2 linked regions of the Tamandua tetradactyla genome follow. The protein of the gene in region 2 purifies or fractionates together with the protein of the main gene of each other region. This does not show direct contact. Links are inferred from orthologs where the notes say so. Each region holds a gene or a part of one and is shown on either strand. Other genes may lie near its edges. The genes, in order: VAPB and OSBPL9.

What was found.
Region 1: the proteins of OSBPL9 (region 2) and VAPB purify together in Homo sapiens (affinity purification with mass spectrometry; 7 studies listed by BioGRID and IntAct, counting the BioPlex papers as one, with this or other methods). This does not show direct contact. The link is inferred for Tamandua tetradactyla from reciprocal best matches to the Homo sapiens genes OSBPL9 and VAPB.

Annotation. Positions count from the first base shown.
Region 1 is NC_135327.1:26,999,640-27,015,098, reverse strand, and holds the start of VAPB (vesicle-associated membrane protein-associated protein B/C), read left to right. Parts: upstream 1-8,332; 5' UTR 8,333-11,133; coding exon 11,134-11,287; intron 11,288-15,459. UniProt on the Homo sapiens protein: Endoplasmic reticulum (ER)-anchored protein that mediates the formation of contact sites between the ER and endosomes via interaction with FFAT motif-containing proteins such as STARD3 or WDR44.
Region 2 is NC_135328.1:170,565,182-170,580,572, forward strand, and holds the start of OSBPL9 (oxysterol-binding protein-related protein 9), read right to left. Parts: upstream 8,002-15,391; 5' UTR 7,820-8,001; coding exon 7,644-7,819; intron 6,903-7,643; coding exon 6,862-6,902; intron 4,958-6,861; exon of another isoform or gene 4,811-4,957; coding exon of another isoform or gene 4,801-4,810; intron 1-4,800. UniProt on the Homo sapiens protein: Interacts with OSBPL11 to function as lipid transfer proteins.

The sequences.
Region 1 (15,459 bases), on a different chromosome or scaffold from region 2:
AGTATTCATGGAGAAGACTTAAAAAGATTTCTTTTTGCCCTGTTATATGATCTTATAGAAGCTTTGCCCTATATGTTGGGCCTTTTTGACCTCAGATTTATTGTGGAAAGAGGGAATTTGTAGGTCCTTTTCTGGGTCATCCAGTCAGCTTTTACCATCCAGGATTTAGCATCTGAGCTTCTGACCAATAAGGGTTCAAGTTCATCATATAGGTCAGGGTTAGGGTAACCCTGGATCATAGGCACCCAGAAGAATTCTTAATTCTTATGCTAGTATTTGCTGGTCTCAATTGGGAAAATCTTTACTTGTAGTTCTTAATTGAGTTCAGGTCCAAGGTTTAAATTCTGTACTAACAGACATGCCAGGTTCTGCAGAAGGCTTAATCTTTTTTTTTTTTTTTCACATGGACAGGCACCAGGAATTGAACCCGGGTCTCTGGTATGGCAGACAAAAATTCTGCCACTGAGCCACCGTTGCCTGCCCAGAAGGCTTACTCTTTAAAAGAGCGTGTACTAGATCATTTTCCCTCAGGGGGTCAGGAGTAACCAGATAAAGCAGCTGTGGGGAGGGCTGGGTAAAGGGAAAGTGGGGGAGCAGTAGGCTTGGTTTGGAATTCCGCTTTTATCTGTTTGTGGCCTTTAGTTAAAGGTTAAATGAGAATGAGGGTTAGTAGATTGAGTAATTAGACAAAAGAGGCTAAACAGAAAGGGGCTGAAAGAACAGTAGGAGTCAAGTCAGTTTGCTTGTAGTCCTTGTCAGTTGTCTTAGCTTCTCATTTCTTAAAATTTTTTAACTTGCTATTATAAGGAGTCTTTTATTGAGGTTATTTTGAAAATCAATACTGATTGATTGATGCCTTTGAATACCAGTCAAAATATGCATCCCATTATTTTTGAGAATGTGGGATCCTTTATTTTCTAAATGTCCTCTGAGAATAACTACTTTATCTAAACTTAAACTACTCTGTTGTGGCCACTGCAATCCTGAATTATCCTCACTAAAGTCTGCTTTTGTAAAAATAGACTAGTTTGAGGTCCATAGCTTTTAAACGTGTACCCTGCTGGCATCTCAGTCGGGGAGCCCCAGATTTTGAAAAAAGAATCCATGTAATTTACTCAAGTCTTTGTGGACTGACCCCCAGACTTGTTTTATCCAGACTCTAACCAGTTTTATTGGACTCTAACTGGACCCTTAGTCTGACCACCAAACTTTAGTACTGCTCATAGTTGGATCTCATATCTGGGAGGAACTTTCCCATTGACTTCTGGGTGCCATGAGAGAGCAGAGAGCACAAAAGTCTCAGCAGGTGTCTTTTTGTCTGTTCTTGCTGCCATCAGCATGTCCTTCAGATCCCACTTTTTTTATTTTTTTATTTTTTATTTTTTATTAACGGAAAGAAAAAAAAAGAAATTAACACAACATTTAGAAATCATACCATTCTACATATGCACTCAGTAATTCTTAACATCATCACATAGATGCATGATCGTCGTTTCTTAGTACATTTGCATCGGTTTAGAGGAACTAGCAACACAACAGAAAAAGATATAAAATGTTAATATAGAGAAAAGAAATAAAAGTAGTAATAATAGTAAAAAAAAAAACAAAAAAACCCCTACAGATGCAGCTTCATTCAGTGTTTTAACATGATTACTTTACAATTAGGTATTATTGTGGTGTCCATTTTTGAGTTTTTGTATCTAGTCCTGTTGCACAGTCTGTATCCCTTCAGCTTCAATTACCCAGTATCTTACCCTGTTTCTAACTCCTGCTGGACTCTGTTACCAATGACATATTTCAAGTTTATTCTCGTTCACATCAGTGGGACCATACAGTATTTGTCCTTTAGTTTTTGGCTGGACTCACTCAGCATAATATTCTCTAGGTCTATCCATGTTATTACATGCTTCATAAGTTTATCTTGTCTTAAAGCTGCATAATATTCCATCGTATGTATATACCACAGTTTGTTTAGCCATTCTTCTGTTGATGGACATTTTGGCTGTTTCCATCTCTTTGCAATTGTAAATAACGCTGCTATAAACATTGGTGTGCAAATGTCCGTTTGTGTCTTTGCCCTTAAGTCCTTTGAGTAGATACCTAGCAAAGGTATCTACTCAAAGATACCTTTGCTGGGTCGTATGGCAATTCTATATTCAGCTTTTTGAGGAACCGCCAAACTGCCTTCCACAGTGGTTGCACCATTTGACATTCCCACCAACAGTGGATAAGTGTGCCTCTTTCTCCGCATCCTCTCCAGCACTTGTCATTTTCTGTTTTGTTGATAATGGCCATTCTGGTGGGTGTGAGGTGATAATCTCATTGTGGTTTTGATTTGCATTTCTCTAATGGCCAGGGACATTGAGCATCTCTTCATGTGCCTCTTGGCCATCCGTATTTCCTCTTCTGGTAGGTGTCTGTTTAAGTCTTTTTCCCATTTTGTAATTGGGTTGGCTGTCTTTTTGTTGTTGAGTTGAACAATCTCTTTATAAATTCTGGATACTAGACCTTTATCTGATATGTCATTTCCAAATATTATCTCCCATTGTGTAGGCTGTCTTTCTGCTTTCTTGATGAAGTTCTTTGATGCACAAAAGTGTTTAATTTTGAGGAGCTCCCATTTATTTATTTCTTTCTTCAGTGCTCTTGCTTTAGGTTTAAGGTCCATAAAACTGCCTCCAGTTGTAAGATTCATAAGATATCTCCCTACATTTTCCTCTAACTGTTTTATGGTCTTAGACCTAATATTTAGATCTTTGATCCATTTTGAGTTAACTTTTGTATAGGGTGTGAGATACGGGTCTTCTTTCATTCTTTTACAAATGGATATCCAGTTCTCTAGGCACCATTTATTGAAGAGACTGTTCTGTCCCAGGTGAGTTGGCTTGACTGCCTTATCAAAGATCAAATGTCCATAGATGAGAGGGTCTATATCTGAGCACTCTATTCGATTCCATTGGTCGATATATCTATCTTTATGCCAATACCATGCTGTTTTGACCACTGTGGCTTCATAATATGCCTTAAAGTCCGGCATCGCGAGACCTCCAGCTTCGTTTTTTTTCCTCAATGTTTTTGGCAATTCGGGGCAACCTGCCCTTCCAGATAAATTTGCTAATTGGTTTTAATAATTCTGAAAAATAAGTTGTTGGGATTTTGATTGGTATTACGTTGAATCTGTAGATCAGTTTAGGTAGGATTGACATCTTAATTATATTTAATCTTCCAATCCATGAACATGGTATGCCCTTCCATCTATTTAGGTCTTCTGTGATTTCTTTTAGCAGTTTTTTTGTAGTTTTCTTTATATAGGTTTTTTATCTCTTTGGTTAAATTTATTCCTAGGTATTTTATTCTTTTAGTTGCGATTGTAAATGGGATTCGTTTCTTGATTTCCCCCTCAGCTTGTTCATTACTAGTGTATAGAAAAGCTACAGATTGTTGAATGTTGATCTTGTAGCCTGCTACTTTGCTGTACTCATTTATTAGCTCTAGTAATTTTGTTGTGGATTTTTCCTGGTTTTCTACGTATAGTATCATATCGTCTGCAAATAGTGATAGTTTTACTTCTTCCTTTCCAATTTTGATGCCTTGTATTTCTTTTTCTTGTCTAATTGCTTTGGCTAGAACTTCCAACACAATGTTGAATAATAGTGGTGATAGTGGACATCCTTGTCTTGTTCCTGATCTTAGGGGGAAAGTTTTCAATTTTTCCCCATTGAGGATGATATTAGCTGTGGGTTTTTCATATATTCCCTCTATCATTTTAAGGAAGTTCCCTTGTATTCCTATATTTTGAAGTGTTTTCAACAGGAAAGGATGTTGAATCTTGTCAAATGCCTTCTCTGCATCAATTGAGATGATCATGTGATTTTTCTGCTTTGATTTGTTGATGTGGTGTATTACATTAATTGATTTTCTTATGTTGAACCATCCTTGCATACCTGGGATGAATCCTACTTGGTAATGATGTATAATTCTTTTAATGTGTTGTTGGATACGATTTGCTAGAATTTTATTGAGGATTTTTGCATCTATATTCATTAGAGAGATTGGTCTGTAGTTTTCTTTTTTTGTAATATCTTTTCCTGGTTTTGGTACGAGGGTGATGTTGGCTTCATAGAATGAATTAGGTAGTTTTCCCTCCACTTCGATTATTTTGAAGAGTTTGAGGAGAGTTGGTACTAATTCTTTCTGGAATGTTTGATAGAATTCACATGTGAAGCCGTCTGGTCCTGGACTTTTCTTTTTAGGGAGCTTTTGAATGACTAATTCAATCTCTTTACTTGTGATTGGTTTGTTGAGGTCATCTATTTCTTCTTGAGTCAAAGTTGGTTGTTCATGTCTTTCCAGGAACCCGTCCATTTCATCTAAATTGTTGTATTTATTAGCGTAAAGTTGTTCATAGTATCCTGTTATTACCTCCTTTATTTCTGTGAGGTGAATAGTTATGTCTCCTCTTCCATTTCTGATCTTATTTATTTGCTTCCCCTCTCTTCTTCTTTTTGTCAATCTTGCTAAGGGCCCATCAGTCTTATTGATTTTCTCATAGAACCAACTTCTGGTCTTATTGATTTTCTCTATTGTTTTCATGTTCTCAATTTCATTTATTTCTGTTCTAATCTTTGTTATTTCATTCCTTTTGCTTGCTTTGGGATTAGTTTGCTGTTCTTTCTCCAGTTCTTCCAAGTGGACAGGTAATTCCTGCATTTTTGCCTTTTCTTCTTTTCTGATAAAGGCATTTAGGGCAATAAATTTCCCTATTAGCACTGCCTTTGCTGCGTCCCATAAGTTTTGATATGTTGTGTTTTCATTTTCATTCGCCTCTAGGTATTTACTAATTTCTCTTGCAATTTCTTCTTTGACCCACTCGTTGTTTAAGAGTGTGTTGTTGAGCCTCCATGTATTTGTGAATTTTCTGGCACTCCGCCTATTATTGATTTCCAACTTCATTCCTTTATGATCCGAGAAAGTGTTGTGTATGATTTCAATCTTTTTAAATTTGTTAAGACTTGCTTTGTGACCCAGCACATGGTCTATCTTTGAGAATGATCCATGAGCACTTGAAAAAAAGGTGTATCCTGCTGTTGTGGGATGTAATGTCCTATAAATGTCTGTTAAGTCTAGCTCATTTATAGTAATATTCAGATTCTCTATTTCTTTATTGATCCTCTGTCTAGATGTTCTGTCCATTGATGAGAGTGGTGAATTGAAGTCTCCAACTATTATGGTATATGTGTCTATTTCCCTTTTCAGTGTTTGCAGTGTATTCCTCACGTATTTTGGGGCATTCTGGTTCGGTGCGTAAATATTTATGATTGTTATGTCTTCTTGTTTAATTGTTCCTTTTATTAGTATAAGTGTCCTTCTTTGTCTCTTTTAACTGTTTTACATTTGAAGTCTAATTTGTTGGATATTAGTATAGCTACTCCTGCTCTTTTCTGGTTGTTATTTGCATGAAATATCTTTTCCCAACCTTTCACTTTCAGCCTATATTTATCTTTGGGTCTAAGATGTGTTTCCTGTAGACAGCATATAGAAGGATCCTGTTTTTTTAATCCATTCTGCCAGTCTATGTCTTTTGATTGGGGAATTCAGTCCATTAACATTTAGAGTTATTACTGTTTGGATAATATTTTCCTCTACCATTTTGCCTTTTGTATTATATATATCATATCTGACTTTCCTTCTTTCTACACTCTTCTCCATGTCTCTCTCTTCTGTCTTTTTGTATCTGACTCTAGTGCTCCCTTTAGTATTTCTTGCAGAGCTGGTCTCTTGGTCACAAATTCTCTCAGTGACTTTTTGTCTGAGAATGTTTTAATTTCTCCCTCAGTTTTGAAGGACAATTTTGCTGGATATAGGAGTCTTGGTTGGCAGTTTTTCTCTTTTAGTAACTTAAATATATCATCCCACTGTCTTCTAGCTTCCATGGTTTCTGCTGAGAAATCTACACATAGTCTTATTGGGTTTCCCTTGTATGTGATGGATTGCTTCTCTCTCGCTGCTTTCAAGATCCTCTCTTTCTCTTTGACCTCTGACATTCTAACTAGTAAGTGTCTTGGGGAACGCCTATTTGGGTCTAATCTCTTTGGGGTGTGCTGCACTTCTTGGATCTGTAATTTTAGGTCTTTCATAAGAGTTGGAAAATTTTCAGTGATAATTTCTTCCATTAGTTTTTCTCCTCCTTTTCCCTTCTCTTCTCCTTCTGGGACACCCACAACACGTATATTTGTGCGATTCACATTGTCCTTGAGTTTCCTGATACCCTGTTCAAATTTTTCCATTCTTTTCCGGATAATTTCTGTTTCTTTTTGGAATTCAGATGTTCCATCCTCCAAATCACTAATTCTATCTTCTGTCTCTTTAAATCTATCATTGTAGGTATCCATTGTTTTTTCCATGTTTTCTACTTTATCCTTCACTTCCATAAGCTCTGTGATTTGTTTTTTCAGTTTTTCTGTTTCTTCTTTTTGATCAGCCCATGTCTTCTTCATGTCCTCCCTCAATTTATCGATTTCGTTTTTGAAGAGGTTTTCCATTTCTGTTCGTATATTCAGCATCAGTTGTTTCAGCTCCTGTATCATTTGAACTATTGGTTTGTTCCTTTGACTGGGCCATATTTTCAATTTTCTGAGCGTGATCCGTTATCTTCTGCTGGCGTCTGGACATTTAGTCAGATTTCCCTGGGTGTTGGACCCCACAGGTTGAAAGATTTTTCTGTGAAATCTCTGGGTTCTGTTTTTCTTATCCTGCCCAGTAGGTGGCGCTCGTGGCACACGTTTGTCTACGGGTTCCACCAGCGAAAGTTGCTGTGGGTCCTTTAACTCTGAAAGACTCTCGCCGTAGGGGAGGTTCAGCAGCCGAAGCGTCTTGGAAGAGTGCCAGCCGGCCCGGGGGTCCGAACGCAGGGAGGGTCGCCGGCCGCTGCAGCACGGGAGAGCGCCCGACCGAATTTCCTAGTCGGCCCGGGGTGCCAAGCGTGGTGGGAGGGTGCCAGCTGTTGCAGCCCGGGAGAGTGCACTGTTCCCAGCCTGACCGGGGAGTCACGTGTTTTGAAGGGACCCCCCGGTCACTGTTCTCCGCAGTCTGGGGATTTCCGACCCAACTCTCTCAGTTGGTCCGGGGGGCCTTGCATGGTGCGGGCGCCAGCCGCCGTGGCCCAAGGGGACCGCCTGCCCAATTCTGCCAGCTGGCCTGGGAAGGAGGAAGGGAGGGACTCCAGCCGTTTGCCGTCCCGCCCGGGAAAGCCCGCGCCCCTCGGTGATCTCACTGGAGCTGGTTCTCCCAGACAGTCAGCCGTTCCAGGATGGGGTACGCCGTCCCTTTGATCTCCGTCGTGGCTCCGGGAGCTGCTCTGTATTGTCTCCACTCCCCCAGTAACTGTTCTGTTAGGTTGGGGGAACCGGGAAGGGCACTGCAACTGGAGCTGCGGAGGCTGTGTCGCCCCTCCCAACATGGCTCCTGGAACCCCAGATCCCACTTTTGACACCAAAACTGTTAAAAATATTAGATAAAATATTAATTATGGGAGTTTATTTGAGGTGTTTATCATTCATGAATTGGGCAGCATCAAAACCATATGTGTAAAGGAGCTCTACTGAGTGGTGAGAAGGGGGAACTTATATAGAACAAACACAAAAGTAAATGAAGAAATGTTCTGTTTGGCTGACATTAAGTTTCTATTTTAAATGGAAGATATACATTGACTCTGAAAGAAGTGACACAAACAGATATTAGCACACTGGATGTTCATAGCAGCACTATTTGCAATTGCTAAAAGATGGAAGCAGTCCCAGTGTCCATCAACAGACTAATGGATAAATAAAATGTGGAAATACATTTAATAGAGTTCTATGCAGCAATAAGATGAAATGAGGTCCCGAAGCATATGGCAACGTGGATGAACTTTGAGAACATTATCCTCAGTGAAATAAGCTAGACAAGAAAGGATAGAAACTATATAATCTTGATATTATGACTCTGGTAAAGATGACAATGTCAAGGCTCAGGCGAACTTTATGAGTTGCTTTGAATAATAGGCTAAGAAGTGGTCAGCTCCAACATGGAAAGTCAGTGCAGCTTCTCTGATATTTTACTCTAGTATGACCTGGGTGAAGAATTTGGGGACAGATGGGAAATGTGATGCTTAGCTGCCAACATTACTTTCTTCCTTCCCCCCTCCTCCTCTCCCTCCTTTCTCTCTTCTCCTTTCCTCTGTTTTTCTCTCTTTTAGTGTCTCTCTTTCTCATTCTCTTTTTCTTCGCTTTTTCCTTCCCTAAAAATAAAAATAATAAAAAGATATTATTAAAAAAAAAAAGATATGCATTGGCTAGTGTGGTATGCTTGTCCATTCTGATAAGCTATTTTACTAGACTGAAACTGGTCTATTACCAGGTATTGCTTATCTGCAGTTCTACAGATATATTCCATTGTTCCATTTTCTTAGATGCCCCTGGTGGGTCCATTGTTTTTGTTTCCAGAAAATCCTTTCTCAAAAAGGGGTTCCTCCCACCAATGCTGGTGACCATTTTATTTCACTTAATTTGCAGGTCTGCCACTGAGTCTTTGGAAAGTAGGGTGAAACTTCTGTGTGCTAGAGATTTCACAGATTTGCATTTTTGTAAAGTGGGAATTAAGGGTCCTTATTAAGTTAGGAACGTCTAAAAAAATTATCCTTTTTTTAAATAGAAATCTTAAACTTTATCGATTTCAATAAAAGAATAAAGAGAAAGCAGTAACTCAGACCATTTTGCAGCTGCATTCTACCAAAGTTTTAAAGTCTGTGTGCTTCTAATGCTGTTTAATATGGTCTAAAAGGTATAAGGGGAAGATTGCCAAATGCATTTTTTTCCTCCTTCTTAAAGGAATTGTCTGTTTTTCTTTTTTCTTTAACAGTTTTATTCACACATCAAACAATCCATCCTAAGTGTACAATCAATGACTGTAGGTATAATCACATAGTTAATGCATTCACTACCACAGTTAGTATGAAAATATTCTTCTTTCTTCTAGGAAAAAATATCCCATACCCCTTACACACCCCTATTATTTCATACTAAATTTATTTTAACATTTGTTCCCCCGTTATTTATTTTTATTCCATATGTTCTACTCGTCTGTTGACAAGGTAGATAAAAGGAGCATCAGATACAAGGTTCACACCCCTATTATCGATGTTTAGCTTTAGTATAGTGCCTTTGTTACAGTTAATGAAAGCATATTACAGTGTTACTGTTAACTATAATCTTCAGTTTGCATTAATTTATTTTTTTCCATATACCACACTGTTATTAACATCTTGTATTAGTGAGGTACATTTGTTCTGGTTCATGTAAAAACTTTCTTAAATTTGTGCAATTAACCACAATCATTGTGTGCTGTAGATTTCACTATGTTATAAATTCTAAACTTTATCCTTCAGCTTTCCTTCTGGTGACATACATGACCCTAGTCTTCCCTTTTCAACCATACTCATGCTCAGCCTTGTTAATTACACTCACAGTAGTGTTCTGCCATCACATGGTATTGTGCTATCCATTTCCAAATATGTATAATTCACCTTTAAAATAAATTACCTTTTAGGTGCCACTTAAACTTTACAAGTGGGGCTATATAGTCTTTAGTCCTACATGCTCCTGTTAGGCCACTATTTGGGCAAAGAAGCAAGAAGGAGTGAGCTAATATATATAATAGAGACTTTCCTAGAGTATAGAAAGAGGTAAACTTAAGGTGAATAACAAAAAGTGCTCTTTTATTTTATATGACACGTACTTTGGGAACTCATCATTCCTCAAAATGATCACAGCCCAAGCATTTGGACAGGATTAGATTGAATCTAGAGACATCATGAATATAATTATCACATACATGATAGATTATTATCCACAATTGGGGATATTTTGGATTTCTTCCTTTTCCACAGCTCATCCCTTGAGATTTTCTCTCTGGACAGTGTGCTGGTTTGGAAGGATTTATGTACCTTAGAAAAGCCATGTTTTAATCCCAGTCAGTCTTGTGGGAGCAACGGTTTCTTCTAATCCCTAGATGTATATCACATTCCAACAGCTAGCAAACTAGAACAGACAGTTTCCTAGCTGGTAGGATATAATACAACTCTGATTCAAATTGGTTCCATAACCCCACATTGGAATCTTCCTATAGGTCAGGCACTGGGTAAGATTGGGGCTAGGGAGGAAGTCCTGGCCCTTAAGGTTTCCACCCTCTCGGTGGTGAGGGAAAGGGAGAATTTGAGGAAGGAACACACATGGCAGTTCCTCATTGGGAGTTTAGAAAAAACTGTATTAATTCTACTTGGGGGTTGTATTTCACAGGGAAGGTGACATTTGAGATATGTGACTTGGCATGCTTACTGTGTATTAGATATTTTCCTGAGTGTTCATTTATTTAATTCTTACAACAAATGAGTAGGTAGAGCCTAGAGCCTAAGGTATTGTTATGATACTTGGGTTCATGACTCAGGTTGGAACTAGGATTTGAACCAAGATCTGTTTGACTGCAAAGGCCATGTTCTTTATCAGTTTGCTTGCTATGTTTCAGTTTCAATTTACTTGCTATATTTCAACTTTTCAAGGTTTAGTGGACAAGGAAGGCCTTTGGTTTTCTTATTATGTTGTTAGGAAGATGAAAGGAGGACTGGAAACAGAATCATGGGAATACAGAAAGTGTATTAAAAAGAAAAAGATTAAAAAAAAAACCAACGTGCTTTATTGTAATCTAGTAATTGTCTCATGCGGCACACTTCTGTCAAGTGCGGAGTTGCCCTGGGGCATTAGAGCAACTGGCTGACTGGTAAAAGAAGTCTTTCTACCAGTTCTGTCCTTTCCTTTAAGAACTTATATTCTATTTTGATCACTTCTCATTGTGAGTTTGTTTTGAAAATTATATGCTAATGTTATCCCTGTATGTTCTCTTTTACCACCCCAGTCCCTGCTTTCTGAGTCCTTTATTTCCTTGATGTCTGTCATCACAAACAATATGTTTCTGAGTTAATTGGGTACCATTTCAGCCTTTTAGTTATATCATTTAACATTTATAGTATAGTAGGAAAAGAAAAGGAAAGGAGTGATACCTACCTGAGAAGTTGGTATTATCATCATCTCCCTTTTAGGGATGAGAGAGCCAAGGCCCAGGACTTGGCAGAATCTGAATTTGCACCTCAAGATCTTTGAGCCTGCAAAGCTTGTACACTTTGCATTACAAAGAGAGGCTTGGATGCCCCAGGCTGGAGAAGCACTCAGCTTCCTGAGCTTTTCCTCCTCTCAAGGTGAGTAGGCTTGAACTCTATACCTCTTAACTCCTTTCAGCTCTAGCCTTGTGAACATGAGACTAAAACCTTTTTTAGCTGAAAAAGAAAGATGGAAAGCCCCACTGAGGGTGGATTCCAGGGTTTGTATTTTCCACAGCATTTACCAGTGCTTTGACCTAGTGGTTTCCCAAATATTTAATTAATGAATCCTCTTGTTCTGTTTAAAACCTCACTACTTCTACTCAACTTTCTTGGGTATTATTGAAGGTATTTTGACATTACCTCAAATTGTACATCACTTGCATGTTTTGTTTCATCTTTCAGTTATTCTTTGGGTACCTCGTTTAACTCATTGCTTTGTCTTCCCTGTTAGAATGTAAGCAGCAAAGGTTTTTGTTTCTTGAGTATTTCTTAGTAGTGGCTGGTGCAAAGTATTCTTTTCTTACTATTGTTTTATTCTGGTATTCCAGAGAATGTAAACAGCCCTAGACTTGATCATCTTTCATGTTTAGTATGATCATTTGAAATAGATGCACACACAAGAATAAAAAAGAGGAAACCAAAGGTTTGTCCTTGTGGAGACTTATTTGAATTCTCATTCTGTTGGTTGAATTGATTTGTTGGCATATGAATGTATCCTGATGGACTGACTGCCTAGAAAATCTAAATTGGTCTGTTTTGACCTTTTTAAAGTCAGGCACTGCTTTACTAATTGGATGAAAGAAAGCCATAGATCACTCCTTAGAGAATCTATAGACGTGCACAGTCAAAAATTCTCATGAAATTTGGGAGCAGGGGAATCCCATTTTATCATGGTTGCCTAGTTAACCTCTAATCTAGCTAAGGGATTGGCAGAGGTGGAAGAAACATGAAAGGTCTTTTGGAGAGTTCCAGAGAAAACTTGGTCATTTCATTTATTATTATTATTTTTTAATGAATTCTTTGTTGTCATTCCCTTTTAATGTAAATAGTTTCTTTTTCTTTCTTTATATACCTCGCATTGAACACCATGCTTGATAATTAGTCATCTTCACTAAACATCTTAAGTGCTGTCTCTTCAACCTTTAAAAAAGAAAAATTGCTCTGTTTTCTCCAGCCTTCCCTTTTTGTCTTGATAGCTTCTGGAAAGAGTAGTCTTAATCTCAAATTTCTCACCATCCATTCACTCCTAAAATCATTGCTCAGGAGCTTAAATATTGCTTCATCACTACATCTGTTGTTACATGTTTTTCACCATAGTGTGCTTTCTGTAGCATTTGCCACCCATCACCATTCCTGCTTCTTGACACACTTCCCTTGACCTCCTTAATCATTCTTTTCGGGTTTTCCTCCACACACATTTGGCCATTTTTGCTCACTCCTCATGGAGTCCTCTTGGACTCAGGGTTACAGGTTCTTCTTCTCTCCCTCTTTCTTCTCCCCTTCACTCTTCACTTCCCTTCTTTTCGTTCTTTCTTCCCTCCTGTACTCCTTACCCCTCTTCTTCTTGGGAGGTTTTCTACCAGTAACTTAGCTCTTCTTCAAGGAGAAGTAAGGCAACAGGCTTCCACCACTGACTTACTCAGTTTTGTATACCCATCTGCCTTCCTGTTTGTTACAGGGCTCCTTGTTTTTGTTTGTTTCTTTTTGTGAAATATAGCATACACACACACGCACAAACACACACGTAATAATTTTCAAAGTATATTTTAACAAGCAGTTACAGAGCAGATTTCAAAATTTGGTGTGCGTTACCATTCCATAATTTCAGATTTTTCCTTCTAGCTGCTCCAAAACACTGAAGACTAAAAGAAATATCAGTATGGTGATTCAGCAATCATACTCATTTGTTAAATCCTGTCATTCTCTGTTATAGTTCCTCGTTCTCCTTTGGACCTTCTCCCAAATCTGTAGGAGTCTTTGGGCTATGCCCATTTTAACTTTTTCATGTTGAAAAGGGGATTCATCAATTTAGGATAGGGGAATGGAATTAAGTGATGCTCTTGAAGAGGCTTGTCCTTCTGGGTTTTAGGACTTATCTGGCCTAGTAACCATCTGGAGGTTATGGGTTTCTGGAAAGTAAATTTAGAGCATGAAATTTTTATATAGTCTCAATTATCACTCTGGGTGTTCTTTAGGGTTAACGTGAATGATGTTGGTTTGGCAAACCGTGACAATTAGCTATGTCTAGCTGAAGCTTGCAAAGGGTAGTCTCCAGAATAGCCTCTCAACTCTGGACTCTGTCAGCCACTCGTACCTTATTTTGTTACATTTGTTTTCTACCCTTGGCTATATATTTTTTGGATGCATGGCCCAGGAATTGAACCCAGGTCTCCCATATGAAAGGCGAGTATTCTAACCACTGAACTACCCGTGCACCCTTCTACCCTTGGCTTTTAACATCACTTAGACATATATAATCCCATGCCTGACCCAAGCCTGTATGTGGAGCCACAGATACCTCAAATGCAGCATGCATCAAACTGAACTCGTCATTACTCCCTTTTCCTTTCTTCCCCAAACTTCTTTCTGCATATGTCTCATTGAATGATATGCACATTCACACAGTTGCCCTGCTCAGAGACCCAGAGTCTGTGACTCAAGTCTGCCGTACTTCCCTGTCCTTTCTATTGCTGCTTATTTCCCTCCTGGATGACAGTAAGAGCCTCCTCACTGGTCTTTCTGTTTGAGTCCTCTTCTCTCCTCACTGACGCCCAAAGGAACTTATGAAGAGGCAAATCTGAGCATAACTCGTTTGCTTAAAATCATGAATTGTCTCTCTGTTACCAAAAGAATAATGTTTAAATCCTTCCACAAGTTCTAGAAAATCATTTATACTTGTCTCCCTTGATTTCTTTTTTTTTTTTTTTTTTTTTTTTAAGGAAAGACAGAGAGAAGGAAGGAAGGATAGAAGGAAGGAAGGAAGGAAGAAAGGGAAACATTTTTAAACATTTTCTTGTTTTATTGTATTCTGTTTCTCCGTTTTTTGTTACATGGGCTGGGGCCGGGAATCGAACCGAGGTCCTCCGGCATAGCAGGCAAGCACTTTGCCCGCTGAGCCACCGCGGCCCGCCCTCCCTTGATTTCTTGACCCTTATCTTTTCTCATGCTTCCCCTCCTGCCTTTAGTTCCCTGTGGCCAAAGCACTTTTGAATATGCTATTTCCACCAGTGCAAATTAGGTCGTCCTCCTCTTTTGCTGCCCCTCCTGCTTACCTTCAAGGCTCAGCAGAGGCTTGACTTCCTTGCAGGTTACTTCCCTGACACTCTCCACCACTGTGGCCTGTTCCCTTGGGTTCACACACTCAGAACGTTATAGTGGATTTGGTCACTTGACTACCTTCCTCATTAGTCACCTAGCCTTTTGGCTTTTTGAACTGTGCCTTTTATTCCCAGATACCAGGGCCTCCACAGTGCACGGTGTATGACAGACTCATAGTTTCTGAGTCTAAGTCATCTGTGAGGAGAAAGCAGATGTGTAAGGAAAATGCTGAGAAAAGAGAGAAGGAACATGGTGCATTTTAGTCTGAAAATATTTAAAGATTTCCTTCCAAATGCTTCTTTTCTACAAACTTATGCTTCCACCCTTCTTTCCCTCCTATCTCAGAGGATGTCTCCTCATCCTGGGTTCTTTCATTCCATTTCTATCACTTGTGATTCCTATTACTAGTGTCTGAAATTTCTCTTCTGTTTCCATATGCTTCACATTGATAATAAAGTTTCTATAAAAGAGGAAAAAAAAACATTTAGAACTCGGTACCTTCATAGTCCAACTTGAATTTTCAATTTATGAACAATGAGAAACAGTAGAATGTGGTTTATCAGTTAGTGTGTAATCTGGTCTGGTTTCCTTTTCAGTAGAAAATCTAAGTGGCCATGCTGGTGAAAAGAGATTATCAACCAGGTCAGCAGTTTTTTAAACAAATTCAACAAGAGGCCAGGGAAAGGGCTGTACAACTTGGATGAAATATATCTTCTATTTTCCCCTTCCTCTGCCTTTGAAAATCATACTTGTTCTTCAAAGATTCGCGCAAATGCATTCTTTCAGAAAAGCTTACCAAACTTCTCCAGTCAGAAGAAATTATTACTTCCCAACTCTTCTCAGTTAAGCACATTTCTTTTCTTCATTGGTCTTTGACTTTCCTGGTGAACTGACCCATCTTTTTTACTGGACATTGTTATTTCCCAGGATTTTGTCTTTAGTCTTCTTCA
Region 2 (15,391 bases):
AGCTCAAAAGAGAACTGAAAAGTGGGGCATTAGCTAGAGTGGAGATAAGGTGAAGAGAGGGGTTTTCTTGTCTTGAAAGCATGTTTTAATACAGAAGGGAATGTTTAGGAGAGGGGGAGAAACTGTTGGCACAGAAGAGAAGGGACAGAATTGCAGCAACCAAGTCTTTGTTAGGGCCAGGGAAGAGAAGACCCCAAGCCCAAGTGGCAGTGTTGGCCTTTGATAGGAGCAGGGAGCAGGGATACTTCATCCATAGTGACAAGAGTGAGAGCAGAAAGCATGGGTATGACTGTCAGTGCATTGGTAGTTTCGTGTTAGCAAGGTAAAAGGAGCTTCTATCCACTTCCATTTGCTAAGAGATTCAACGTTTGCCCATTAAGAATGTGGACTCTGAGGAGTTAGAAACAGGGTAAGAGGAGTTAGAAACAGGGTAAGATAATGGGTAATTGGAGCTGAAGGGATACAGACTGTGCAACAGGACTAGATACAAAAACTCAAAAATGGACAGCACAATAATACCTAATTGTAAAGTAATCATGTTAAAACACTGAATGAAGCTGCATCTGAGCTATAGGGGTTTTTTTGTTTGTTTTTTACTATTATTATTACTTTTATTTTTTTCTCTATATTAACATTCTATATCTTTTTCTGTTGTGTTGCTAGTTCTTCTAAACTGATGCAAATGTACTAAGAAACGATGATATGCATCTATGTGATGATGTTAAGAATTACTGATTGCATATGTAGAATGGTATGATTTCTAAATGTTGGGTTAATTTCTTTTTTTCCGTTAATTAATAAAAAAAAAAAAAAAAGAATGTGGACGCTGGTGCTATAGTGCCTGGGTTTGAAGCCCCAGATCCACTGCTTAGTAGTTATATGGCCTTAAACAAATTTTCTAACTTCACTATGCCTCAGTTTCTCCATATTTAAAATGTGGATGATAATCAAATCTGCCTCCACTGGTTGTTTTGAGGATTAAGTGAGCTCACACATGTAAAGAGCATAGAGCAATGCCTGGTAGAGAGTGAACACCCAGTAAGTATTAGCTCTTGGAATTTTCCCAAAGAAATGCCCAGTGGGATCATGACCCGAGGGGGAGGGCAAGGGTGGATACGGATATTTGAAGACAGAGGGGAAGGTACGAAAGAGTGATTTCAGAGATTGAGAAAGCCACAGATGTGAAGTGGGATTGCTGAACAGTCTGAGTTCCCATTTAAGATTTATGTTCATGCATTTAAAGTGGGATGTCAGCTTTTCTCCAGTAATGATACACTATTCAAAAGTAAGCTCAGGGCAAGTCATGGTGGCTCAGTGGCAGAGTTTTCGCCTGCCATACTGGAGACCCGGGTTTGATTCCCAGTGCCTGCCCATGAAAAAAAAAAAAGTAAGGTCAAAGTAGATAGATATTTGCATTTAACCAAGTGAGCCTGTGAAGTCAGAGAAGGACAAATAAATTCACAATGATACCCAAGGGAGTGATTATAATTACAGACTGAAACCTAGTCTGGCTAAGGCAGGAAATGAGAACAAGAGGGGAAAGAATGAAGAAATGGAGTTCTCAATAGTGCTGGAGTGGGAGTAAGTGACATGGAAGGGTAGGGAGTGGTGGAAAGAAAATGTGACGCCTGAAATTGAGACTTGGGAAGTGGAACAGTTACTGATGAGGACAAAGATGAATATATGACGATGGCTTTGGGCAAATGAGGTCAGGTGGAGGAACAGATTTGGAGACGAGGAAGTCGAGGGACAGAGAAACAAAGGAGTTGTATAATATCATCCAAGTACATGTTGAAGTCAACCAGAATAATTACAGGGATAGCAGTGTAAAAGAAGAGAAAACTAGGAGCTAAAATCATCATTGAATGAAGGCTAATGCCCAGAGGGTAGGTAGATGATGGCAGCAAAGTAGAATAACAGATGGTAAAGTGGAATGTCAAGAACCTAACTAAAGAAGCCAGGTTTATGGAAAAGGAGGGAGGGAAAATGGTTCAGAAGCAGCAAGAGAAGCATGTAGTCCTCACAACATCCTATGGGGTAGATAGTAATACCTCATGTAGCTGATGAGGAAATGGGTAGAATCCAAGAGACTTGTCCAATCTCACAGTAACTAAATAACAAAGGTATCATTCAGCCCCTCCTATGTGCCAGGCCCTGAGCTAAAGTAAGATCCCTCACTTAAACATAAGAGAGTCTAATTAGAACAACATATAAACAATGTGATAAGTGCTTTACATTTCTGCCTCTAACCCAATGCTCTTTCTGATGAATTCACTCTCAAGATGCCTACATAAATAAACATTCAATTAGTACTCCCAAAATACCGTGGAAGATGCTGGGAGGGGTAGATAGTTATTATTTTCTCCCCCACCGCAAACATAATCTCCATGAGAATAGAGATTTTTGCCTTGTTTACAACTGTATCTCCAGCAACCAGAGCATACCTGAAATATGGCTGGTACTCCATAAATATTTGTTTTAAAACGTGTTCTCCCTCTCCTCAAAGAGCTTCTTATTTATTCAGTTTGGCTATTCACTGTATTAAAATTGTATGGCATGGGGCGGGCCACAGTGGCTCAGCAGGCAGAGTTCTCACCTGCCATGCCAGAGACCCGGGTTTGTTTCCCGGTGCCTGCCCATGCAAAAAAAAATTGTATGGCATGATATGACAACATGGATTGACCTTGAAGACATCATTTTGAGTGAAATATGCCAGACATAAAAGGACAAATATTGTATAATCTCACTGATCTGAAATAATTATACAAGCAAATTCCTACATTCAGAAACTAAAATACAGGTTACCAGGGGTGGGGGATGGCTACGGAATGGGGAGTTAAAGCTTTAATGGTATAGAATTTCTGTTGGGGATCATGGAAAAGTTGTGATAATGGATATGACGATGGTAGCACAACATTTTAATTGTAATTAACACCACCGAATTATATATCTGAAAGTGGCTAACGGGGGAAATTTTAATTGTACATGTTACTAAAATGAAGAATTTTTTAAACAAACATTCCTTTTTAAAAAAATGTACGATTCCTTTACCCTCCTGAGATAGAATCCATAGATAACTTGATCTAACCACATATATAATGTGAAAGAAAAAATGATCATATGGCATGAAAGGTGCTGATTTATTGCTATGTGGATGCAGTCCCTGGCCTCAAGAAGCTTCAGATCTGGTGAGAAGGAAAGGTCACACACACAAACTAGTAAAAGTCAGAGGAAAATGAAAGCCATCAGAGGAGTACAAAGAAAATGTGATTGGGAACCAAAGAAGGGAGAAATCTGTTCAGAGAATTGAAACAGCAGTGGTATGTGTTAGGAAAAGGCCATTCTCATAGTTACTGAAAACACACCACATACGCTGTCCCCTGCACTCAGAAGTCTTGCCAACTCACAATATGAATTCTTCATTCTGTTCATTGCAAACTACACTTTGTCTCCTTTAAGGCCTTCCACCAATATCAACAAACCTGAGTAATATTTTCTTTATCCTCTTTTATATGTCTTCTCAATTCCTCTCCATATGAGGCAGCAAATGGAATAGAAAGAAATTCTTTCTAGACCCCTAGAGTTAGAGAAATGAGAGATCCTGGCTTTACCATTCTGGCTGCAGAGCCTGAATAAGCCCTTCGTAGGACTTAGTTTCATCTTCAGAAATAATTAATGCAATCATTCCTCGCCAATATGAGTAAATTAGAATATGTCTGGAAGAGATAGCAGCCAATATAAGTTAGTTTCCAGTTTCTCTTTTTCTTTCTTGTCTTTGTAGTAGTCTCTATCACAATTCAACAAAGTTTGCTAAGAAGAAGGCATACCTTTGGCATCTTCCATAAAATCAAAAATTAAGAAACTCAGTTCCCTTACAGCTAATCAGAGGCATGAGTCAAAGCCATTCTTTCCTTTTAGATTTATTTTTTCTTATTAGTTCCACCATTTTTTACTTATCCTGTGCCAGACCTGTTACACATTTCATCACATCGAAGCATCACAATTCAATAACCATTGGGTTATTACACAATGAGTGCATTAGTCTCCACATTTTACTAATAAGAAAACTAAGGTTCACAGTAATTAACCGACTTGCCCAGGGACCTAACAATACTAAGTAGGCAAGTTATCTGAGTACCTGAATCCACATAAACACGTCTATCTTTTTATTTACTCTGCGTAGTTCCCCCCAAATACAGTATACACTCCTCCTAGAAACCTGATGTTGGAGAAACATTGAGGGCACAGCCTCATGTTGCTAATGTGTTTTAGGATAAGGAAAGTTGAAAGGATTTGATATATGATTCAGATAGAGTTAAAGATTTACAACGCGTTGATTATTAGTCCTCCATTAGCTCCTTAAGAGCAGGAACTGGGTTTCATTAATCTTTTTATCTAGAACCAGCCCAGTGCCTGGCACACAGAAGGTACTTAATAACTACTGCTTCACCTGAATTATTGGTTTCACCAAAATTGAACTCCTAACTGCCAAGAACTGTGTTAGGCACCATTACCTGTATTTTCTCCTTTAATTCTCATAACAATCCTTCAAGGTCTGTATTATTACATCCATTTTACAGACAAGGCTACTGGGACACAGAGTTGTAGAGTGGTTTGCACAAGTTCACATAGCTAATAAACAGCATAACCAGAATTACAATGTAGGACTCAACACCCCAGATTCATTCCACCTCAGCTGCAAGCTATATTTGCATTGCATATGTGTAAACAAATGTCCTGGATAGGACACAGGCAGCAGCATCAACTTCTAACTCAGTCTTAACTTTCATCAGGGCTCACCAATAATCATCAGCAGGTTCTACTTACAGCTTCAAATGTCTAAACACAGGTAGTCAGGGAGAACTGAGAGGAAAGACAGTTCTTCACTCATGAGATCAAGTCCACTTGTGTAGCTCTTTGTCTACATTCGCCACAAAGTCTCAAACTACATGTTTTAGATCATCAGATAAAATTAAATGTGGCAGAGACACAGAGGCTCAAATTCCCACATTCCTCAGTGCCTGGCCTCATGCAGAATGAAGTGACAGCTGAAGGGCAGCATGGAAAGAGGATTAGACTCAGAGTCAGAAGGGAGACATAATGTTAACCATTAAACATAAGTTTATCAACTGCAGGAACTGGGTCTACTTCATCCAAGCATTTGGTATATCAATAAATGTTAAACTAAAGACGTGATTTTAAAAAAAGATTATACTGGCAGAAAATTAAAAACAAATTGGAAAGGGGAAAGACAGGAAGCAAGAAAACAAAGAGCCTTTTAACCAGCCAAGCAAGCAATAGAAAGAGTGTAAACTTGGACAATGGCAGTAAGAATGAAGAACAAGAAAGATACTACACTGCATATTTATTGAGAAACTTTTTGTAGATAAAAGTTAAAACTCACTAAATAACGGAATTAGAAGAGGAGGGAGTAAGGGGAGTCAGAGATAATACCAAGGTTTCTAACTTGTACAACTGAGAGAATGATTATTTTCTGAGTAACCAATTTTAAAAAAAAAAAAAGGATGAACAAAACCTGCTTGTGTTTCTCGAGATGAAGTTTCCTTCTTTACACATCTGTTTAGAAAAGTGGTTTTGTAGTTTCTAGCAGAAATGATTTCCAACTTTTATACAGCTGGGAGTGTTGGTGCAAATTACTTCGTATTGTATTCTGTTGTTGTTGGTTTCCTGCCTTCTCTTCCTAAATTCCCCACTAACTGCTTTTTGTTGTTGCTGTTATTGTTGTCATGTTTCTTAATTGGCATTTGTTGGGCATCAAATAAAACAACATTTACAAAAAGCTGCCTTGCTTCAGAGAAAACACAGCAACCTACAAAAACTTGACTGCCCTTTTCTGGATGTAGAGGAAACAGATGATCCAGTTTAAATCTTGGAAAAGCAAAAGAAAGCCTATTTTTGTCCACAGACAGCAAGTTCTCATTCTTTCCCATCCTTTCCTTTAGCTAGAGAGCAAAAAAAAAGAGAAGTGTCAAATTTAGGAAAAGGCAGCTATGATACTGAGGCAGAGAGGAGCTGGGGAAGGGAGAGAAAATATTTTAAGGAGAGAAAAGAGGAATGAACTCATCTTTTCTCCTCTCAGTGTAATGTTCCCTGGGAGACCCACATCCCAGCTACTCTGGACTTTAGCCATTTCAAACTCTCCCTCCCTCAGGTCTAACTGTCCCCTCAATCCTTTGTGTCTGACCTAAACTCTGAACAAACTTCAGACAGAGAGTCTGGGATACATTATTGCATCTACTGATTCACAGTGTCCGAATCCCTCCATGACAGTAAGTTATTTGGGTTTTGCAAATTGTTTGTGGATATCAATTATCCAAGGTCTGCCTTCACATGAGCAACATGGATATTCTCCAGTTGGCCACAGCAAAATATTATCAAGAACTCCTTGGAATTTAGCATTAAGCAAGGAATGAGATTTAAGGGCAAGGATGTTGCTTACAATAGTGAAACCCTGGAAATAACTTAAATGTCCAACAATAGGGAAAAAATTAAATTATAATAATCTATTATTATAATAGCTCCAATGCGCTGTTGTGCAGTCATTAAAAAGTATGTTTGAAATATAATGATAAATGAAAAATTAGATATAAAATTATATATAGTTGATTAAATAGGTATAAAATGATTTTAGATCTGTAAGTGGTACAATCTTATTTTATTTAAAAATGTATACAGGATCAAATTGACTGTGGTGATAAATGCACAAGTCTGTGATTATACTAAGAGCTATTGATTACACACTTTGAATGGACTGTATGGTGTGTGAATAAAACTCTTTAAAAAGTTGTCTTAAAAAAATGTATACAGGGTGCATGGGTGGTTCAGTAGTAGAATGCTCACCTTCCATGCAGGAGACCCAGGTTCGATTCCAGGTCCTGCACCTAAAAAAAAAGCATATATCTATCGATCTCTGGGAATGACTTTACATCAGTGACTCTCAACTACTGGCAATTTTGTCACTAGGGGACATTTTATATTGTCACACCTGGGAGGATGCTAGTGGTGTCTAGTGGGTAGAGAACAGGGATGCTGTTAAACATCTTATAATGCACAAGACAGCCCCCTACAACAAATAATTATCTGGTTCAAAATGTCAATAATGCTGAGATTGAGAAACCATGGAGTATAGCAATCAATCTATTTAGGAGCTACCAGCACTGTAAGCCTGTTAATGGCAGGAAATATTTTTGATAAATCAGTAAATCTCAGGAAGAGGGCTTAATATGGGTTTTCCCTGTTTCTCACATATAAAAAGGAACATGAACCCTCAGTTGCTAGAGCATAGAACAAAGTTTAACCCTACTATTAAAGGTTTGGAAATTCAACACACATTGAGCCAAAGAAATTTTGAGGGAGGTGTTGTAGGCCAGTGCTTTTAAACTGTTTCAAGATGCACTGGCTTTCTATACCTCAGTACATACAAACCACCTGGGGATCTCGCTAAATTTAAGATTCTGAATCACTAGGTCTAGTGTGGGGCCTGAATTCTGAATTTCTGACAAGCTTTCAGCTGGTGTACTACTGCTGGTCTGTGAACCCTGTCTTGAGCAGCTTCAAAATACTTAAAAACTGGAAGATCCATAACCTCCAGCCCGACTCGGTTTGAACTGAACCTCACTGACTTCGATCTGTCTAGTGCGCCAGGGCTTGGGACAGCAGTCCGAATCTCAGCATCCTCCTCCGGGGCACCAAGAATGCTGTGGCCGGAAGTTCGCCATATCAGCCGGAAGCCGGGCCGCAAGCGGCCCTGGGAGCTGGCAGAGCTGTCTGGGAGTCGCTTGGTCAGTTGTCTTAGCATCTTTGACTTGCAGGTCGTGGGTGTAGGCAGCACTCTAGGGCAGGCATGTAAGACCTGGCTGGTGAAGTGGCCACTGGCAAAGGTGAACCCTCAACCACCCTCCGCTTCCCGGTCGCTGGCTTGTCTTCCGTGTTGGCCGGGCTGGGCTACGCAGTGTTTGGGGCCCCGCGTTCCGTGCTCTCGCTTGGTCTCTATCTGTAGCTACGTCACACTGGGCGAAGTGTGGGCCTTTATCACTGGCTGGAACCTCATTCACTCTACGCCATAGGTTCTGCTGGTGTCGCAGGGGCCTGGAGCTCTACTTTTGACAACCTGATTGGAAACCGCATCTCTCAGGTGCTGCAGGGCAGCTTCTCATTGTATGTGCCCCACATCCTGACCAAGTATCCAGACTTCTTCCTCCCGGGCCTAATTTTGCTGCTTACTGGACTGCTGACTCAAAGAGCTAGAGAGTCTGCGCTTGTTACGAAAGTGTTCATGAGCGTGAATATTTTTGGTTCTCGGTTTGTAATCATCTCCGGCGTCATTAAGGGGGATCTGCACAACGGGCAGCTCACAAAAGAGGACTACAACATGGCATATGATGGCACCCAAAGCTTGGGCACTCTGGGCTCTGGAGGATTTATGCCTTTCAGACTCAGTGGAATTTTCCGTGGAGCAGCTACGTGTTTCTTTGCATTTGTTGGTTTTGACAGCATTGCCACTACAGGGGAAGAAGCCCTTGATCCTCAGCCACCCATCCCCTTGGGGATGGTGATCTCACTCATCATCTGCTCTTTGGTGCATTTTTGTGTCTCAGCGACTCTCACCCTTATGATGCCCTACCACCAGATTTATCCTGAGAGCCCTTGCCAGAGGCTTTTCTTCACATTGGATGGGCCCCTGCCATATGCACAGTGGCTGCTGGTTTCCTCTGTGCTCTTAACGTCCAGCCTCCTGGGCTCCAGGGTCTCCATGCCTCGTGTGGCCTATGCAATGGCCGAAGCTGGGCTCCTTTTCTACAGCCTAGCCTGGACCCACACTCACACACAGATCTCCATCACAGCCACTGTGATCTCTAGAGTCTTTGCTGTGCTCATGGCATTGCTCTTGGAGTTTGCTGATCTCATGGACCTCATGTCGTTTGGGACCCTGCTTTCTTACTCCCTGGTGGCTTTCTCCGATCTCGCTCTCAGATACCAGCCAGACCAGAAATTAAGCAAAAATGAAGAAGTGCAGGTGGACATACTTGAGATGAAGTCTGTATGTGAGGCAAAGTCCTTGGAATCTGTACCTGAAGCCCAAACCTTCAAGATTCTAAAAATGTCTGTGTAACTCCACCAACACCCTCCCTATGCTGAAATCTGGCAAAACTATCAATATTTGTGTCTTTCTCTTTGTCCTGCTGCTGACCGCCCTGTACCTGATCCTGGACCAGTGGCCCAAGCACTTGTTTTCTGGAGACCCACTTTATACACTGGAGACTGCTCTGCTACTGGTACTTATTGCTGCTGTTACTTTCATCATCTGGAGGCAGCCCCAGGACCCCACCCCTCTTTTCTTCAAGATCCCCGCTGTGCCTGCCTCCTGCTGGTATGCCTCTTTATAAATGTTTACCTGATGATAGAAATGAGCGATGGGACCTGGATCCTATTTGGAGTCTGGATGATGATAGGATTTGCTTTCTATTTTTGGATATGAGATGTGACACAACCTGGAGAAGAAGAGTGATCGACAGCCACCAGCCTCAAGTGCTCAGGCTCTTGATGAACACATTCATGATTCTCAATTGGCCTAGTCACAAAATAGATGCTGTGGGAAATCCCTCCACTGCACCTAGAGTGTTTCAAGTAGTTGTAGTCTAGGTCTGTTTTTTTTGGCTACTAAGAATAGTGCTTCCCCTAAGTATAGAACTGCCATATGACCCTGTTACTCAGTAGTCCTGTTACTCAGTATATACCCAGAACTGAAAGCAGGGATGCAAACACATTTGCACACCAGTGTTCAAAGCACCATTATTCACAGTTGCCAAAAAATGGAAACAAGCCATGTCCATCAACGGATGAATGGATAAAAAAAATATGGTATAAAAAAAAGTGGAATATTATTCCACTGTAAGAAGGAATGAAGTTCGGATGATGCAACAACATGTATGAACCTGGAGAACATTTCTGTGTTTAATGAAATAAGCCAAACACAAAAGGACAAATACGATATGATCTCACTAATATGAACTCAATATAATGAGCAAACTTAAGGAGTTAATATCTAAAATAGCTGTTATCAGGAGATAGAATGAGGATAGAGAGTGGGGAAATGATGCTTAATTAGTGCAGGATTTTTAAAAAAATTTAATATGTTTTGTATTATCAAACCAAAACAACATGTAGACATGAACATTCTTAACATACAAACATTCTGTGTATGGTGTACAATCAATGGCTCACAATATTATCACATAGTAGTATATTCATCACCATGATCATTTTTTAGAACATTTGCATCACTCCAGAAAAAGAAATAAAAAGAAAAAAGAAAAAACTCACACATACCTTACCCCTTATCCCTCCCTCTCATTGACCACTATTATTTCCATCTGCTCAATAGATTTTAACCTTTGTTCCCCCTATTTTTTTTGTACCCCTTACCACTCCCTTTCATTGTTCACTAGTATTTCCATCTTCTCAATTTACTTTAACCTTTGTTCTCCGTATTATTTATTCATTTTTAATCCTTATTTTTTACTCATCTGTCAATATCATAGATAAAAGGAGCATCAGACACAAGATTTTCATGATCACATAGTCACACTGCAAAAGCTATATCATCATACATTCATCTTCAAGAAACATGGCTACTGGAACACAGCTCTGCAGTTTCAGGCACTTCCCTCTAGCCTCTCTAATACACCTTAAACTAAGAAGGGGAAATCTATAAAATGTGTAAGAATAACATCCAGGATAATCTCTCGACTCTGTTTGAAATCTCTTAGCCACTGACACTTTATTTTGTCTCATTTTTCTCTTCCCCCTTTTGGTCTAGAAGGTTTTCCCAATCCCTTGATGCTGAGTCCCAGCTCATTTTAGTGTGCAGGACTTTTTTTAAAGGTTAATTGTAAATGTCTGGCAACGGATAAGGCTGATGGTAACACATTATCAGTTGTGATTGTGATTGAAAGGGGAAGTTTAGGTTTGTCTGTTTCACTCAAAGGAAAGCTAGAGGATGAAATGGAACTTATAACACTGAACACTGTTGTGGATGATGAAGGTGGTTAATAGTATCTAAATAAAAGAGTGTTCCATAAGTTAGAACAAATGTATGTCACGGCTACAAGGTGTTTATAACAGGATTGTTTATGGGGGGAAATGCACCTAATGCCAACCATGAATTACAGGTAACAGTAATATCTTAATGTTCTTCCATTAATTGTAACAAAAGAACCACACTGATGCTAAGTATCAATAATGGGGGTGTAAGGGGCATGGGTTTTTGGTTTATGGAGCTATGAAAATGTTCTAACATTGATTGTGGTGATGTAAGTATGACTGATTCTACTGAGAGCCACTGATTGTAGACTTTGGATGGTTGTGGTGTGTTAATAAAACTTAAAAAAAAAAAACTTTAAAAACTGCTTCACCTTACTCTCTCAAAAAATGGTGAGGATGATCAAGGCTAGTCCTTCAGGAAGCTGAAGCCAAGGGAGATTCGAAAGTTTCCCAAATGCCGCCAGGCTCCAAACATGTGCCCTTTAGCCTGGCACCTTCATGAGTGGGGTAATGATTTCCTTATCATAATGACTCACAGGGATACACTCTCATTCTGCCCATGGTCCCAGGGAGATCTCATCCACTTCTATAGTTAAAATACTGCCTACATGGGACAGTTCTCTAATCATTTTATTCTCTCTGGGTCCAGCTATCTCCTGAACATCTCAACTTGATGACGCTCAAATTCATCTCAAATTCAACCTGTACCAAACAGGATAAGTTCTCACCAAATCCTCTCCTTTTCTTGTGATCCCTATCTCAGTGAATGGAACCACCATCCATTATTCATGCCAGAAACCTAGAAAAGACCCACTCTTTTATTTTCCCTCACCAAATACCCCAATCCAGGAGATGAACCAGCCCTGTCAATTTTACCAATTTAACCACCTACTCTTTCCTTTCCATGTCGACTGCTACTATGTTGGTTCAAGCCTTCACCATTTCATACTTAAACCTCTGCAGTAGCTTCCTAATCCAATTCACTATTGCCCCCTGTGGTGGATTGAACTGTATACGCCAATTTAGATATGTTCTTGGTCTTGATCCACATTTTTTTCAAGATGTTACTTCAACTAAGGTGTGACTCAACTGAATCAGATTGGGCTTTAATGGGGATTACTGGAGTCCTTTATAAATAGAGTGAAATTCAAACAGAGAGAAGCTGTTGGAAGCAGTCAGAAGTCAAGAGAACCCTGACGAGAAAGGAGAAGACATCACTGTGTGCATTGCCATGTGACAGAAAAGCCAAAGAACACCAAAGATTGCAGGCCAGGCAGAAGATACCGACCTGGGAGGAAGCAAGCCTTCTAGCCTCTGAAACCATGAGCCAATAAATGCCTGTGTCAAACTAACACATAGTATGATATTTGTTTTAGCAACTAAGAAACTAAAACACCTGCTTCAACATGGCCTACACACTGACTATAAGAGTGTGAAATTGGAATGGTTAATAGCTATACTAATTATCTTGATCTCCTTGAACTCCCATTTTACCCAGGAAACTACAAAGAAGAAACAGAGAGCAACTGAGGCAGGCTGACATGCCAAAGATCGTTTGCAGTGCTGATAAAGACCCCTGCCTTCACTGTGATAAGCGAGTTAAACTGACCCCAGCAAGTCTGCTAATCCTTACCAGATAACCACAAAACTTGCATAAACAATCCTGCTTGTATAGGTTGCTAATGAACAGACTATGACCTAATGACACCCTGCTCTAGACAAATCATGTCTTCCTTGTCCCTCTCCACCCCTACCCCACATCCTCCCTTTGTCCCAAACAAGCATGAAAGCTGCCTTCTAGAACCCAGGCCTTTTGAGCAGTAACCTTTTTGTTGTTGCTGCTCCAGCATAAATGCTACTTTAGCTCAATAAATTTCTTCTATTCTTTGATTTTTCAGAGTCTTGCATTCTGTTTGTATTGTAATGACTGGATGCCAGTCATGGTGGTTAGGCATTAATGTTACAGAGATTTGGTCTCTGATTCAAAAGTTTAGTACAGGAGGCAGATTATAAAGCTATATAAATGAATTACCATACCGTGAGTGTGGTGGTTAGGTTCATATGTCAACTTGGCCAGGTAATGATGCCCAGTTCATCTGATCAAGCAAGCACTGGTCGATCTGTTGCTGCAAGGACATTTCTTGGACTTAAATCATTGATACATTGATTGCATCTATGTCTGATTATATCTGCAGTCAGCTAAGCAGAGTGTCTTCCGAGAGAGATTTAACCTAATTAGCTGAAGTCTTTTAGTGGGGAGGTGATAGCTTCAGTAGTCAGAAGAGAGAACTTTTGTCTCTACTTTAGCCAGCTAGCTTCTCCTGGGGAATTCATTGAAGACCTTCATCTTAATGCCAGCTTGTAGTCTGCCCTATAGAATTTGGACTTGTGCATCCCCACAGTTGTGTGACGCACTTTTATAAAATCTCATACTATTGGGCCATGGTGGCTCAGCAGGCAAGAATGCTTGCCTGCAATGCCAAAGGACCCCGGTTCGATTCCCGGTGCCTGCCCATGTGAAAAAAAAAAAAAAATCTCATACTATTTACAGATAATCTCCTGTTGGTTCTGTTTCCCTAGAGAACCATGATCAATACAGTGAGGTATGTATTAGGGCAATGGTATGATGAAACAGGTTTGAGAACCCCAAGAATGAGACAACTAATTTGCCTGAGGCAGACAGTCAGGCAAACCTGGATTCCAATTCCATCTCTTCCCTTGACTAGCAGGGGGACGTAGGCTAAGACACTTAACATTTTAGATGTTAAGTACTTCATGTAGAACTGAGAATAAGAAAAATTTCTGGGAAAATTGACCTGAGGATTAAATAAGATGATAAATGCAAAGGACCATGCATAGTGCTCTGCATAATAAATGCCAAATCAAATGCATTCCTTTTATTCCCTTCTTTTTAGAGGAAGTAGAAGAGCTTCCAAAAGAGATAATATTCTACTTGAACTTTCTTACTCAGGGAGGAGAAACTGTCACTTATGGAGTAGCTACTAGGAATAGGCCTTCTGTGTGCGCAAAAGTGCAATGGCTTGAAACTGTATTGTGCATCTGGGAAATGGAACATTTTTCCCATGGCTGGGGCAAGGAAAACAAGTGAACCCGTGGTGGGAAATAGCTGGAGAGGGAGCCCGACGCCAGATTGGGAAACCATTTGCAAAGTTCTTCTCTTTCTGAAATCTAGTATTTGGAGTTTAAATATCCAGCTAATCGTGTAGACAGAAAGAGGCTGTCACAGATCCAAAGAATTTCAACCCTTAAGTGGGAGTGTATCAATTACAAAGATCTAACCTCCTATCTAATTCCCAAGGCTGCACTGTGATTTCCAAAACATGGGCCTTTGTACATAATTTATGCATTCACTTTGTAGCTTTGTAATTAAATCTGCGGAAGATTTGGACACACACAGCAATACTGGTACAACTCCCTGCATACGTAAGTACACCATCTGGAGTGTAGAACTGATGATTTTGAACACTCCTCTATATAGCTAATGATAGATTGTTATGACTACAATTAAGTGGACCAAGGGATGAATGCACTAAATAAATAAAAAATTTAAAAAACATGTGAACCGATTGACCCTGTGCACATGATCCTCCCTGATCTAACTTCCTGTTACATCAGGATCTGTTTCTGATATCTATTAAGTATGTTGTTTTTTTTTTAATATCCCCTAAGCAGCATTTATTTACCCATTGAATTCCAAAATATTTAATTTAGAAGTCTGACATTTCATAATCACCCATCTTGATTGACATGGGTAGATGCACATGATGCTATCAGGATACAAAAGGATAATAGTCAAAGAGTTACAAAAAACAAATCCGTGATTCTTAAGCAATCGCAATCCCCACCCACCCGCCAAAAAGTTACAAGCGTCGAAACTTTAAATGCATGGCATTGAAAAGAAGGTTTGTGCACACCATAATTTAAAGAGGCAAAACAACATACTACTGAAACTTCCCCTTAAACGATTTATTATAAAACTGATGGAAAAGGGCAGGGTGTCTCTTTGTATCAGTGTCCCTTAACAGTTTTCCATTTGCTGAAGAAAGAGGTGGGAGGAGTGAATTCATTTTTGCATGCACAAGATTACTGCTTAACAAAACACTATCAGCTTTTAAAAATATCAACTGTAAGCCTATGGTGGCTGATTCTCCTTTCTAAACTTCCCCTCTACTTTCGCTTGGATTTCAGTGGATAGTAGGCACAATAAAATGCCTCGTTCAGAATGCACTTGTCAGCATAATTCAAAAAAAGAGCTCCAGTGGGCTCAAAGCAACCATCGATCCAGCAATGCCTATAAAGATTTATC